2 linked regions of the Oreochromis niloticus genome follow. The protein of the gene in region 2 purifies or fractionates together with the protein of the main gene of each other region. This does not show direct contact. Links are inferred from orthologs where the notes say so. Each region holds a gene or a part of one and is shown on either strand. Other genes may lie near its edges.

Region 1 (7,397 bases), on a different chromosome or scaffold from region 2:
CTTTCAGTAAAGCATAGTGAGGCTCCTTGTCGAATTTCTGTGAAAGAAAATAAAGAGTAAAAATAAAAACTTTAGCTCTTGCTCAGGAGTTTTTTCTTAAATTCAACTTAAACACAAAAACACCTTCACTATTCAAATCACAGACCGAGAATTTTGTATCAGCGTGAAGACACTGTGCAGATTTTTGTGACGCTATTTGTAGGGATGGGAATCGAGAACCAGTTTATGTAGAAAACCGATTCCCAGAAGTCCAATTCCTTGGAATTGTTATTCTGCCTTTCTATCGATCCCGCTTACTGGTTCCTGCACGGTTCGCTTGTCAGAGGAGGAAAAAGGCGACGCAGTCGAGCATGGATATGGACACTTATTTTTATTGCACAAAAGAATGAGATAAATGGTAAAGTGGAAAACTGGACAGAAAAAACTGCATTATACTGCTAACACAACTTCGGTACTTGTGTGGTCTGCTTTGTATTCTCCAAGAGAAAGATCTTAGAGATGTGTGTTCTCATTAGGGATTTGTGTTGGTGTGTGGGGTTGTAGCCTCAGGTTTATATTGTTAAATAGTGTATTTCAGCTCAGTTATAGTGTAACATGAAAGTAATGTAACGAGTAGTGTAAGGAATTATTTTTTCCAGGGAGTAATTAAGTAACGTACTGCATTACTTTGAAGAAAAGTGTTCTGTGTAATATGTCTAATATGTTCTGTGTAACATGCACAAACATTTAACCCACAGCATGCAGTTAATTTGCATGAAGGTAATTTCTATATTGCTGCAATAAGTAATCAAATCGATAAATGATATCGATCTCGGAATCGCTAAATTCTTACCAATTCCCATCCCTATTTCCTTGACTACACTAAACCATAAATATCTGATGTGGTGTTGATGAGACTCATAGTGCAAGAAATTCGGAATAAACACATACTGATTATAAACTAACAGCAAGTCTCATTTATTACTCCTGGCTTTATGACCCAGTTCTACTCACAGGATCAAACGAGAGCAGCGGCCTGGATCCTTTGAGGCAGTTTCCTGTCAGTTTGAGTTCGGCCAGTGTGTGAACTGTCGAAGAGGAGGGGCAATGCAATTATTTTTCCCAACATATAACAAGTGATTGCTGCATTTGAGGGCTTTAGTGGAGAAATAACTTACTGTTCTGGACTAGGAACTTTGCAGAAGGGCCATGGGGGCTGTTTGAAATCCTACAAGACAAGAACATGATTGAACTTAGTTCAGATTGGCTTTATTATGAGTCTGATGTACACGAGATGTAATACCAATGAAATTCTCACCACATATAGAGGTCCTGCTTCTTCTTGGCCTCAAAATAGAGGCACTTGTTGCAGTTTTTGATCTCACAAACCTGCCAAACAAATGACTTTATTCTCCTGGATGCTTTATATATGTTATATAAGAGTAAACTGAGATATTAAACAGCAAACTTACCTCGTTTATGACAAACAGCTTATCCTTTCTGTCCATTTTTGTGTCTAGGCACAAGATTTGTGGGTTAGTAAGGTAAGACAGATAACACAGGTGTTTGTGTGAAGCAATGCCGTAGGTGAATGCTATATGACACTAACCTGCCTTTGCATGAGGCATCATGGTCCTCAGGTCCTGCATCAGGTGTCTGGTTCTGAAGTTGATCCCTCTGGAGGAGAAAATCAGAACTCTTTCCTTGTTGGTCCATTTGCCCTGTTAAAGAGAGTTTACCTCAGAACATCGAACTAAAACAAATACCAGTTTGCAATTTCAGTCTTAAAATGCAACAAAAGCAAAGAAACAGCGTTCTTCTACTACGGTTCAGAGCAGATATGGATCTGCCCGGAAGTTTTTCCCTGTCTGCGGAAGGCTGTTGGTCCATTGTTTACCTCAGCTGTCAATTCTGGGTAAGAGGGATCCACATTTATTCAATCTGGAAGAGACCCTCAAACTTTGTGGAAGTAGTCTAATACAGGTCAGTGACCTTTGACCTCCATACTGAGGTGAGTTATTGAGGATATGCTGAACCTTTCTTTTGGTAAAAGCTGCTGTTTTGATGCTTTGTGAATAAACCCTCCGATGTAAGCAAACTGTTTATTACAGCGAAACCTTTTTGGGACACTTTCTAATTAGATGCTATTGTTGTTTAGCCAGTGACTATGAGTAACAGCAACAACATCAGGAATAAATTAGCATGTTGTTTCCATGTACAAAAGCACTGGCTTGAGGTGAGGATAACGAGGATGACATTTTCTTAAAATGCTGGTGGGCCTCTCTCTTTTCCTTTGCATTTTTGATTCTTTGATGAAGGGGACCCCTTCTCCACGACTATAAAACACAAGCATAATCCTTCAAGTCTTGAGTCTGAAGACGAAGTCACGAATTTAAAATAGCCTCCGAGGTCGACTTCTACGAGTTCTCTTCCTTTGGTGTTTTACACATGTAGCCGAGCTTTAGCCACATGTAAAATGCGACTGGGTGGAAGGGAAATGTCCTTCCCGGCCACTGTATTTAAATAAGCTGGCCGCCTCCACAAAACATCACGAGCCATTTATGTATTTTTAATGGATTAACGATGCGTTTATTAAAACGCATCAATTTGTTGGAAGGAACGTAATAACACACTATCATATTTATGAGCACAACATTCTTTCTTTTTACTATTAATTAGCCTTAAATGCCGACTGTACGTTTAAGAAGGCAGTTTGGTTTATATCTGTGGCGATATCAGATTGGGAATGTTCCGATATAACGAATTCCTCTATCCGATGCAACACACTGAACAGGTTATAGATAAGTAAGTAAAGTAGCGCGTAGTTGGTAAACTGAAGTTGGCTCACCAGCTAAAATAGTTCAGTGGACAATAACACGCTATAACTCTGACCTGAGAGATCGGTGCTGGCACCGTGATCTCATGTTCCTTCTCTCTTCCCACTTCCTCTAGGCCTTTGCCTTCATCTGGTACCAGTTTTCCTTTTTTCGGCTTGAAATCAACGGAATCTTGGCCGGCACGTTTTCTCTTGAACGGCGACATGTTTGCACGCACACGAAACTCCGAACTTCCGAAGAAAAAAAATAACATAAAGCAATAGTGAGAGTGACCTCTAGTGTCCTGGAGATGGTACCCCCAACGTCTTTTTTGGATGGCGGCTCTAGAAGAAAGAAAGAAAGAAAGATCCCCCTTTTCAACCCTGGCATTGAAAAAAAAAATTATTTATTCATTTATTCGTTCAGGATCACTCCTGTTACTCCTGCCTGCCAGAGACAGGTGTGGCATGATGCCAGTTCCTGCCTCCACCTGCCTCCACCTGCCTATATGGCATTCTATATTAAGTAGCTCCAGGATGAACCCTGCGTTCCCTGTACTAAAAAGGTCGATCAGTTACAGGGTTACATCGCCACGGTAACTCATTCTGCGAACCTTAAGTGATCGTCTGCCTAAAAGTGCTTTCTGGTATTCGCCAAAAAAGTGATTACTCGTATTTTAATTGCTGTCATTGACTTGTTGGCCTATAACATGTGAAATATGTGCCAAATGTTTCCCTTGTGATAGCTATTAAGTCATCTTGAGCCACAAACAACATTCCTGCTACAAGGTAGAAACTGAAATTAGTTTTTGGTAAAGTTTCTTTTATATGACCTTTATTTGTCCCATTAAAGAGTCTTGTTGACATTCAAAATGTCTTCTTTGAGGGGATCTGGCCAAGAATGTATCAGAAATGGCAACAAATTAGCATTATAGTTCTATAATGATATTTTAAGTGACCAAAAAGGACTTGATTGGTTATAATGTAGGTACAATAATGCAGAGTCATTCTTTTAAATAGAATAGAATAGAATAGAATAGAATAATCCTTTAATTGTCCCACAAGGGGAAATTTGGATGTAACAGCAGCAAGAAAGACACATATACAAACAAACAGTACACAAGACACAGAACAGAAACATACACAATTTTTACATATTTACATCAAGGGCAATGGTTACCAAAAACAGAGTACTGTACAGTTATTAAATAAAATAAAATGAAATACAGATAAGAGGCAAACCCAGGTTGTAGTGTGAATCGGTTGATAAAATAGTGCAAGTTGCAGTCTGACAGCTGCAGGGAGGAAGGACCTGCGGAAACGCTCCTTCATGCATCTAGGATGCAGCAGTCTGTCACTGAAGGAGCTCTGCAGTTCAGCAACATTTACATGCATGGGGTGGGAGACTCTGTCTATCAGAGATGTTATTTTGGCCAGAGTCCTTCTGTCTCCCACCACCTGCACTGGGTCCAGGGTGCATCCCAGAGCAGAGCTGGCTTTCCTGATAAGTTTACACAACCTCTTCCTCTCAGCTGCCGATAAACTGCTGCTCCATCATACAACACTGTAAAAAATGACAGATGCCACGACAGAGTCATAGAAGATCTTTAAAAGCGCTCCCTGGACTCCAAATGACCTCAGCCGCCTCAGCAGGTAGAGTCTGCTCTGACCCTTCCTGTAAAGAGCATCAGTGTTGTGGCTCCAGTCCAGTTTATTATTCAGGTGAACACTCAGGTACCTATAAGAGTCCACTATCTCAATGTCCACTCCCTGGATGTTCACCGGTGTCAGTGTGGTGGGTCTGCGTCTCCGGAAGTCCACCACCAACTCTTTGGTTTTCCCGGCATTGATCAGCAGGTGGTTCTGCTGACACCAGTCTACAAAGTCCAGAGTCCACTGTCTGTACTCTGAGTCATCCTCACCTGTGATGAGGCCAACTATGGCAGAGTCGTCAGAGAACTTCTGTAGGTGGCAGCGTGGGGAGTTGATGGAGAAGTCTGCAGTGTAGAGGGTGAAGAGGAACGGTGCCAGCACAGTTCCCTGTGGGGGCCCCCATACTGCAGACCAGTGTATCAGAGACACAGCCCTGTGTCCTCACATACTGTGGGCGTTCTGTGAGATAGTCCATAGTATCCACTGGGACATGTGGTGGTCCACTCCCGATAGCTCCAGCTTGTCCCTCAGAAGTCGTGGCTGGATGGTGTTGAAAGCACTGCAGAAATGCTAAAACAGGTAATTTCTTTATTTAAAATATAATCCCTTTGTAAATCCTGTTGACTACAGTCTGTTTACCAATACAAGCAAACATCTTACATGTAAAAAACACTTTCTGTCACAACGCCAGATTAGAGATGAACAGGTATGAACTCTCCACCGACTGAAGTCTTGATCAATGTCACAATTCCCGAATGATAAAGTTGTGATAAGTGATTTATTTGTTAAATCGCACAACTGGCATTTTCCCCAGGTTTTCTTCCTGCCTTGAAGTCAGCTACACTTTATCAATATGTAGCTCTTTTTCAGTCTTATTGTCCAAAACATTGAAAGCACTCACAAATTCATACAGCACTTTTAACACGAAACAGTACAGTTTTTTCTCTCTCATGTCGCTGATTTATCTGAAGTAGCTGTGTTATTTTGATTCTCTGTTATGTTTTTAACCACTTCATATTTTTTTAACATCATAGTTTATTCTTCCTTTGTAAAATCAGCTGCTCAGCTGGTGACATAACAATCAGTGTGATTGCCAATAACACCCCTTTCATGTGAATGTGCTCACACCTACAGTGGGGGAAATGTGATCCCCTGCTGAAATTGCAAGTTTGCTTGTTGCCAAAGAAATGAACATTCTCTCATTTTTTTTGTTTTTTGTTTTGCTAGTTTCATTTTAATAGAAAGAGGGAGAATATCAACCTATAATCCGGAAAAAAGCATCTCTCCACCAGCATGGGCAAAACCAAAGAGCTGCCAAAGGATGTAAGGAACAGATTGGAGGCCTGCACAAGGCTTGACTGAGCTCTAAAACATCAGCAAGAAGCTTAGAGAGAAGGTGAAAACTGTTGCAAATATTTGGAAATGGAAGAAATATAAAATAATCATTGGTCACCCTCCATGAAAGATTTTCCCTCATAGGATGAAGATAATCATGAGGAAAGTGGAAGATCAGTCTAAAACTATACAGGAGGCTCTGAAGGCAGTTGGGACCACCATCACTAAGAAGACCTTTGATAACACACTGTGCTGAAGTGCACTGATGTCTTGCAGCACCACCAAGGTCCCCATGCTCAATAAGGCAAATGTTCAAGCTCATCTAGTTGCCAGTGAACATCTAAATGAAGCAGAGAAGCCTTGGGAGAAAGTACTGTGGTCAAAAGAAACTAAAATCATGCTGTCTGGCATCAACCCAACCCTGCATGTTTGGAGCAAGAGAAATACTGAGTATCGTCCAAAGAACACTATTCCCACAGTCAAGCACGGAGGTGGAAACGTCATGCTTTCGGGCTCCTTTTCTGCTAAAAGTACAAGACAGCGTCACCACACCAAAGGTCCAATTTTCCTATTGAACATCTGTGGAAGGAGCTGAAGCTTCCAGTTGCCAAGTGGCAGCCAAGAAACCACAAGGATTTAGAGAGGTGGGCCAAAATCCCTCCTGATCTGGTTGCCAACCTGGTGACCAACTATAATAAACGTCTTACCGCTTTACTAGCCAAAAAGTGTTTTTTCCTCACCAAATACTATAAAAGTACAGGGACATACCTTTTATGTAATGTGTGTGTGTGTGTGTGTGTGTGTGTGTTTTTCTGGTTTATCTTTTGTGTCTCTCCATTAAAACTACTGTGAAGATTAGGGATATTTCTTTGTAAACGAGCAAACTAATTCTGCAAGGGATCGAACAATCATTTCCCCCACAACTTGCTCAGTTGACCAAGTGAGTTGGTAACCAGCTATGTGTGACCGCTTATCCTGATTGCCAATGTTAGGGTACAGGATGCTGATAACGGCTGGTTATTTTTGAAATACAGTATGACACGACACTTATGTTGCTGCCACGGTTTGCAGGCTGCTTTTACCACACCAAGTCCTCATCTTCATCTCTGCTGTCAAACAACATATATCCTAACCTTTGCAGCCATGCACCCATAGGTCTTTTTTCCTTTTATTATTCCCCGATTAATGTCCTGATTGATGTCTTTTCTTTTCTGGGCACTGATGATGACAATACCCAGTGGGATGTTTTCCTATATGAAGAAGAATAGCATTCAAGTCATTGTTACCACTTCCTAATCTGCTTATAATTACCTGCTCCTTCCTGTTGGTGGAAACAATACTGCAGACACGCAAAGGGTTGCGTGTGGGGAAACATACACAAAAGGTGTAATCAGAACAAAGCAGATTAGGAAAAAAACTAAAACTCAAAAGACCTCTGCAATTATTACTGCATTGTCCCAAACAGAGATTTATGTAACTGTGGATCTGAAACCTGCTGACACAAGCCGCTGTTTTACTTGTTTTTGAACATTATATATAGGTTTTATTTTTCATCTTTGACCTCCATAAACACGACATGAAGGCAGATTTAAAATACGTAAGGTCCTCTTTAATT
Region 2 (7,944 bases):
TCAATTTAACAGTTAGACGTTTCCGGCATTATAGCAATTTTCATCTTTGAAAGTCTTTCAGTGCCCTCCCTGCTGAAGGACTGGATTTCTGATTAACCTCGGTTTCTTTAAGTTTTTGTTTGTTGTAATGTTTTAACTTATGCCCACAATCCTTTGCTGCTGGGACTAGGTCTAAAAACACATAAACTGAAGACTGGAAGAAGATCAGATTGATCTCTGATCTCCTGGTGTGGAGAGATTTTACTTGCTTAGATGGAAAACATATTTTTACCATTACATTTTATTTATCTTTATTGGGATGCAAAGGTTTATACGAGCTGGTTCACACACCGCCACCACCAGTGCTGCGTTTCTCATGATAAACAAACACCACGTCGGAGCAAAAGCAGATCATACCTGATGGACGAACACATCCACCGGCTCTTCCAGCGGCACTCCCTCCCGGCTGGTCATGGACAGGAACCCGAAACCCATGCGGACGTTGAACCATTTACACACACCGACCCCGTGGAAAGACTCTGAATTCTCCTCGGGACTCGGTCCTTCATCCTCCTCGGTTTTACACACTCCTACGATGAAACAATTTAGCAATTACTACATAAAAGCTTTAAACCTGCGAATGTGACGATGCTTAAAAACGCAAAAGAATTTTTTGAAATTGAAAGGTTTTAAAAAACGGAAATACCCATTTTCCTTTAGGCTAGGCTACCCAATCAATAATCAATACGAATCAATAAAATGAACAAGATTAGGCTGTATTTCTCACATAATTTGAAATAAATTATAGCCAACTTTTTAATGGAAATAAACATGCGACTTTTTTCAGCGAATGCACAACGAGTTGGTGTAAAATTAGCGCAAAAAAGAAACAAAAATATTGTTCCTTCCCGTAAGATGCACGAAATTCTAAAGACAATGCAAAGCACTGATAGACACACGGACTGCACATTTTAACGTTCAAGTGTGTGAACAATGCGTTAAAACGTTCCGCTGCAATCGAGCACACAGTCCACAGGTACAACGACTCAATTAACTTGCAAAAACTTCTCAAAATGTAGCTCAAGTTACCCAACCTCGGAGCTGCTTCTTAGAAACGGAACCCATGTCTTCAGTTCTGCCTTGAGTCAAAATCAGCACCCAAGCTACAGTATCCAGTGTACAAGCCCTCAAACTGGGTAATCCTCGCAGATTGCCACTTTCATGCAAAATGCTGTGAAACGCAGAAGCTGCGCAGCGAGAGGGAAAGCGTGAGAGGGAGGTAAACAAAAGGGGGCTGGCAACCTATCCCCCTTAAACAATGAGGGGTGGGGGGTCACCGGGAGAATTTCTTTTTTTCTGTGAAGACCCCGACCCCCCCTCGCTAAACAAAAAAAAAAAACCCCAAAAAACATCTTAGACAATACATCGAAACCCTGCCCCACCAGAAAGCGCTCTAACCGTTTCCAGAGATAACTCCCTAAAACCTGCCAGCATACCTTCTGCCATGTTCGGGAGCTATGGTTTAATCTCAGTGTCCACTGCTGCCGTTTCTCCCCTTTCTTTGGACGCCTTTTAGCGCTCCTGCAGTGGCCAGCTCTGTTGGTCAATACAAATGACCATTTCCCACCCAACAAAACCCCCAAACACTCGGTCACGTCCACGTGATTCACAATTACAGTCCCCAGGGATACACTGCATATTGCGTGATGGACGAGCCCAAACATGGGAAGTGGCCAATCACTATAATACGCATAATATTCTTATACTACCTTTGTTGTTGTGATTGGCCACTACTTCTGTAACCAGTGTAACATCCTTATATTGCAACCTAAGCATCTGTTCTAGTAGTGAGTTTACACTTACTGTAAATTTATCTGTAATGTATTTTGAGGCATTTATCTGCCTAAAATTAAACTTTTATTTAAATAAAACCGGATACTAAAACAAACATTTTCCTTTAAGACTTGACGCATTTAAGCATTTCATGTAAATATATATAGTGAGGTGAAGCTGCATGTAATAGATGAAAAGGCCAGAAGTAAATGGTTTAAAGCACTCTACTGAAAGCAATTAGTTTGAGATGTTCTTTTAAAAAAATAATAATAATGGATTTGAATATCTACATTTTATATCCATGTCATATTAATTCTCACGTGCGTTGGTTTCCTTATAATCAGAGATTCGTGTAACTGCTCTCCTAGGAGGGTTTAATGGTAATCCAGATGAAATTGTGAGTGGGGGACGGTTTTTTTCCACATGCAGCAGAGGAGGAAGAGCTCAAAGGAGTCAAACAAGCTAGGTGAAGGCGTGAAGAAGAAAAAGGGAGAGAGAGAGAATAACAATAACTCGGATTTAACAAAAGCATGCAAAGCAGTTTTTGCAAAAAAAGAAAGAAAAAAGAAAAAAGAAGGCGACCTCACGAAAATAAAACGAATTCATGGATCAATAGTGATTGATCACATCACGTTAAGCGTGTTGTTGAATTGCGTCCTTGTGAAATGAGTGATGACTTAAAGACAGGAGGGGGATAAGCAAATTTATCTCAGCCTAAATTAAAAATACAAATGCAAAAACAAAATAAAAAATAAAAAAAAGATTGAAAAGATGCTGTTAACGAATTTACTGGTGATGATTATGTGTTGTTACATTTACAAAGGTTTTGGAAATGACAGATAAGATTGCAGAAAAGGAAAAAAATACACAAAGTCCGTTTACATGTCTCAACATGGACACATGGATGTATTTGAAATTGTAATTCGTTTGCTTTATGCTACACCAACAAATATAAAAGATGCGGTTTTGCATTTGCTAATTTATTTGTGTGTTTGCTAAATAAAAACGATTTATTACTGTCACTGATTTGGCCTAAATTGGCAATACTAAATAATATTAAATATACCCGTATTCTGTTGTATTTTACTTATTTATTTGTTGAAATGGAAATATGTGATTGATGACTGAGAGGAGGCTGTGGCTCCCAGTTCATCACAATTACTACAACGACCTCTTGTGGACCCGCAAAACGTGTATTTGTGGCCCCAGATATAATATATTTTAATTTAATATGGAAGCTGCACTTCATGCTCAAAGAAAGAAAGAAAAGAAAATTATTAATCAGCGGTTACGTTTATTTCTTTTAAAAAAAAAATCAACAGTATTTTTGTATTTATTTTAGTTTTTACTTTTAGTTTTGTAATTTCGTTTGAAAAATGTGTTTTTTTAGTGGCATAGGTCGAAGGCACGAGTTGTATGTTTTTGCATAATTTACTAACTAGTTTACTAACTGATTAACTGTTATTACATTTATCTTTATAGAGGTTTGGCTAATGATCACAGAGGCCATGAACATTTTTATTGCCACTTCATGCTGGCGTTCTTGTGCAAAGAAAACAATCTAATAAAGTGTCAGGACGTCAGAACTTCCAATAGTGGGGTAAGAGAGCCGTAAGTGCTACCTAATAGGATGACCGAAAGCCAGTGCTTTTGGACAATATGACTGAATGCCAGCGCAAAGAAACCTTGTTCTGACGACAGGAGGCGCTTTGTTATATTTGCTTATCCCACAAAGTGGCGACAAAGTTTATTTACAATACCCCCCCCCCCCCCCCAAAAAAAACTCTACACAACAGCAACAGTTAATACTCTTATTATTACTACTTACATTATTAATAAAAAATAAATGGAAAACAAGCCACATTTATTTTATGAGTTCCCTATCCGTCACACATCAAAATATACTTTTTGCTATTTCTCGTCTGCCAAAAATTTATTTCCGGTATTTGCCAGAAAATGATTGCGGGAATTCAAACTGTTATAAACAACTTGTTGGTCTATAATTTGTCCCAAAGTCAGACATATCTCTCGTGAATGATATCAAGTATTTTTGAGTTAGGAAGAACATTCCTATCACAAGGTAAAAGCCACAATGAATTTTTGCGACTGTTTTATCCTTTATTTATCCTGTAAAAAAAAAGAAAGAAAGAAAGAAAGAAAGAAAGAAAGAAAGAAAGAAAGAAAGAAAGAAAGAAAGAAAGAATAATCTCTGGAATTGCAAATGTCTTTTTCTTGAGAGATCCGGCCAAGAGGGCAGCAAAAATTATAAGAAATATAACATCAGGATTCTGTAAACATACTTAAGTGACCAAAAAGGGCTGGATTGAATATAATGTAGGTACAATAACGCAGTCATAAAGATACTTGTAAAAGAGGTAATTTCTTTATTTTATATATATATATATATATCAATCCTTCATAAATCCTGTTTACGACAGTCTATTTGCCAATATAAATAAAGGTATTCGATATAAAAAAAAAACCCAAACAAACAACAACAACAAAAACCAAACATACGAAATCACTTTTTGGCACAACACCACCCAGTACCCGAAGGCAGCAAAGTGGTATGTGTTCTATAAAATGACCACTAGATGTCAGTATAAGTCTCGGTTCAAAGTGCCGACTAAAATCAATAAAAATCTAATACCTCAGGTTTAACTTTGAAAACAACTTTATGAGAAAATAGTAGTTGATGTCACCTTTAAGAGACGAGTTCTAGTCTTGTGGCCTCAGACCTGTTGATAAGAATAGTAGGCTATATAACTGGGGACCTATGCATGTTGTTTTTTAGTCTTTTCTTTTTGAGTATAAACTTTAGAAACGGTGCACGAGAAGGGTCCCGCCTCTTTGGCATCCATAAGGAAACACCAGCCAACCAAGCGCGGAGGCTTTAAAGCCTCTCCGGGCATGACCAACAGAGAGCATCACCCCTGCGTTAAGACACCGTTTTTTTTTGTCGGAAGTCAGGTGGATGGAGCAGCTGATGGGCGGGGGCGGTCCACGGGAGAGGTGAAGCATCTTAGTGAGTGACAGTGTGGAAAAAAAATATGAGAGGAGAGTCTTAAGTTAGGAATAACTGGCCTGTGGCATTTAAAACAGAAAATTGTAGCTCGGGCTTCTCTTAGAGGTATAGATCCGCGTTGCAGTGATAAAAAAATAAATAAATAAAAAAATCCGCAGCTCATCGAAATGCGGAACAGAAGAAAGTTAAAAATTCCTTAATCAGATACGTCGGATAGTCCTCTCTGGTTTGAGTGCAATCATGTAGACTCGTCCTTTAGCCGATGCGACGAGAAACACTTCGGAGAGTAGCTCGTAGGTTGTGAGGTGAACTCCATCTGGCCGCAGAAGCAGGACGCAGGTTTAATTTGCGCTCTTGGTTCCGTCCGCGCCGTATGCAGCTCCTGCCACTCTAGCCAACCATGGCACGACTGAGGAGGAAAGCGTGCATAGCTCTGTTTCTTTTCACGCTGTTCATCTTTGGGACCATGATGGGACTGAGGACCCTGAAGCCCAGTGACGGCTTCTCGGACTTGGCTCCGGGCTTGGAGCTCCTGCCGATGATCGGAGGAAAGATGGACCGGCGCTCAGTGTCCAGTGATGGGACCGCTTCCCCGGGTCAAGCCCGTCCGCCGGGCAGCAACGCCAAAGCCGTGTTGTCTAACACCGGCCCCGAGGGGACCATATTTTATGATGTTCATATTTTCTACTATATGTGGTACGGCAACCCACATATGGACGGTAAATACATTCACTGGGATCACATCCTAGTCCCGCACTGGGACCCTAAGATCGCATCCAGCTACCCGAGAGGGAAACACATGCCGCCCGAGGATATCGGCTCCAGTTTCTACCCCGAACTCAATCCGTACAGCTCTCGGGATCCGGATGTGTTGGAGTCCCACATGGAGCAGATCGGAGCATCAGCAGCAGGTACTGTAAAAAAAAAAATGCAAACCGGCACCCTGAAATTCTCGGAGAGACGCACAAAAAAAGAGCTGAGTGTTGTTATTTGTGGTCAGCAGCTTTACAGAAATGTGGCTTCTGTAAGCACAAAGCTGCCTCCTTTTTGCTGAAGGGGCTCGACACATTTTTCAGCACCACACATATACTGGACAGCTCCCCACACGCTTGGTCCTCAAATATCTGCTGCTGCGCTTTCATCCTTCATTAGGTGTACATCAGAAGCAAACTAATGTTTTTAAAGATGTTTAGCTATCTATATTAAAACCGAACCTTATACTACTTTAGTATTAAAGCATCACCAAGCCCCAAAGTATCTCTGCAAGTACCTTTATCTCTTTTAAATGTCATGAACTGATAATAGTTGTGTTGCAGTCTCATCAAAGACTTGTATGGCTCCCTTAAATTCAGTACAAGTTTGTTCCCTGGTGTCAAGTAACAGCGCAGTGTGTCAGCCATCAGCAGCCAACACATGATAGGCCCTGATGTGTCTGTCCTGCGGTGCAGTAGGTTACTGTACACCAGCTTGAGTGATGAAGGCCATCTAACCCTGAAACCTGGGAATCATGGGAGGTCCAGCTCAAAGTTGCTTAGTTAAAACCATCCATTTAATTAGAGACCTCATACTCAACTGTAAATAGATCTGCTTGACTTGGTGACTGATTTCCTGCCACTAAAATGAATAGTAGTAGCCGGCTTCTTGATACACAAAGACATGTTTGGCTATTGTAATCTAATAGTCTCCACAGCTCCACAGCAAGTGGACATGAGTTTAATAAATTAGTTGTGAGTGCATATACAGTGTGCCAGTTCCTACCTCTTGCCAGGCACTGCTGTGGCTGATAGAAAACCATTTTTCAGCCAGCGTGAGTTTATGAATTTATGAGCTGTCACACACTCAAACTGTTGCCACTAAAACAAGGCATAATAAATAGTCCTAAGATGACAAGTACATATTCATTAAAAAAATTAACTGTCCTCCACAGATCAGCGGATGTACTATATTGCTGTGAACCACAAAGAGACACTAAAGGATAATCGCAGAGAAAGCAACATTACTACAAGACAACAATAACTTCACATAAACACAGTTAGCTTGAAATCCATGCATCTTTTCAGCAATCCATACAATAATATTGTTAGAGCTTCATATACATTTTGTAATTATGTTCCCATCAGAAGGTGATGGTGCTCTAAAGTGTTAATTCGTATCTTTGATCAAGTGCTTATCTCCCTCTAGGTGTTCTGGTCCTGTCCTGGTATCCTCCTGGAGTAGCTGATGACAACGGGGAACCTGCTGAGGATTTGGTACCAGCTGTACTGGATGCAGCATATAGACACAACCTCAAGGTAAGCAGTGTCAGCACATTTTATGTGTGTGTGTGTGTGTGTGTGTGTGTGTGTGTGTGAGAGAGAGAGAGATGTTTTTTAGATGAATCATCTATTTTAAACATTAACTTTTTTCCTCTTTCCTCTTCATTGACTTTTATTGAAACTCTAAAAGACAGAACAATGAAAAGGAAATCAGATAGCACACTATATAACAATACTGCCAAAGTATAACTAAAGTAAGCTCAGATCATATAGAAATATAACAGAGTTTACAGTGGTTTTGAACTCTGTTGGAAAAATTACATTTATGAAATTCATTTTAACTTTAGGACTCTAACTTCCTGGAAAACACATCAGTGACTTTGTCATTTCTGTCACTCAGCAGCTATTCTGCATGTCCTTTAAGAAATACAGGAGATGCATCTCTAGAGATTTCATTTGACCAAATCACTTACAGAGGAGATTTTTAACCTGAACAGGGCATTTTTGTGGTTGGATAAAGACTATAACAAAAAAAAAAATATGTCCGTAATTTGCGCCAGTTTGTTATGATTGGAAAAAATATATTCAGTTACCAACAGACTGCCTCTCAAAAGGAAAGCATAGTGCCAATTTAGTACTACTACACAACAGTAGCCACTGCCCAACATGCATGGATACCGTGCTCATGGATTAATGTACAGCAAATCACCATGATAAAGAATCTAGGCCAGATGGCAGCAGCTAGGCTTCTCCTAATTCCTAACAGCTGTAACAATGTCCAAAGTTATCTAATCTTAAGAATTCCTCATATCTATGATTTACACTTAGATAGTGGAGCTGATGGTTGCAAAG

The links. Proteins that work in one complex are often made in the same cells at the same time.
Region 1: the proteins of lin28aa (region 2) and bxdc2 purify together in Homo sapiens (affinity purification with mass spectrometry; 3 studies listed by BioGRID and IntAct, with this or other methods). This does not show direct contact. The link is inferred for Oreochromis niloticus from reciprocal best matches to the Homo sapiens genes LIN28A and BRIX1.

What each region holds. Positions count from the first base shown.
Region 1 is NC_031972.2:18,181,989-18,189,385, reverse strand, and holds the start of bxdc2 (ribosome biogenesis protein BRX1 homolog), read right to left. Parts: upstream 3,066-7,397; 5' UTR 3,022-3,065; coding exon 2,872-3,021; intron 1,701-2,871; coding exon 1,589-1,700; intron 1,496-1,588; coding exon 1,452-1,495; intron 1,369-1,451; coding exon 1,298-1,368; intron 1,208-1,297; coding exon 1,158-1,207; intron 1,068-1,157; coding exon 994-1,067; intron 38-993; coding exon 1-37. UniProt on the Homo sapiens protein: Required for biogenesis of the 60S ribosomal subunit.
Region 2 is NC_031976.2:26,322,480-26,330,423, forward strand, and holds the start of lin28aa (protein lin-28 homolog A), read right to left. Parts: upstream 3,055-7,944; 5' UTR 1,486-3,054; coding exon of another isoform or gene 1,476-1,485; 5' UTR 1,105-1,475; coding exon 1,074-1,104; intron 570-1,073; coding exon 397-569; intron 1-396. Other genes in the region: glycoprotein endo-alpha-1,2-mannosidase-like protein, read left to right, coding at 5,238-5,748, 7,019-7,128. UniProt on the Homo sapiens protein: RNA-binding protein that inhibits processing of pre-let-7 miRNAs and regulates translation of mRNAs that control developmental timing, pluripotency and metabolism.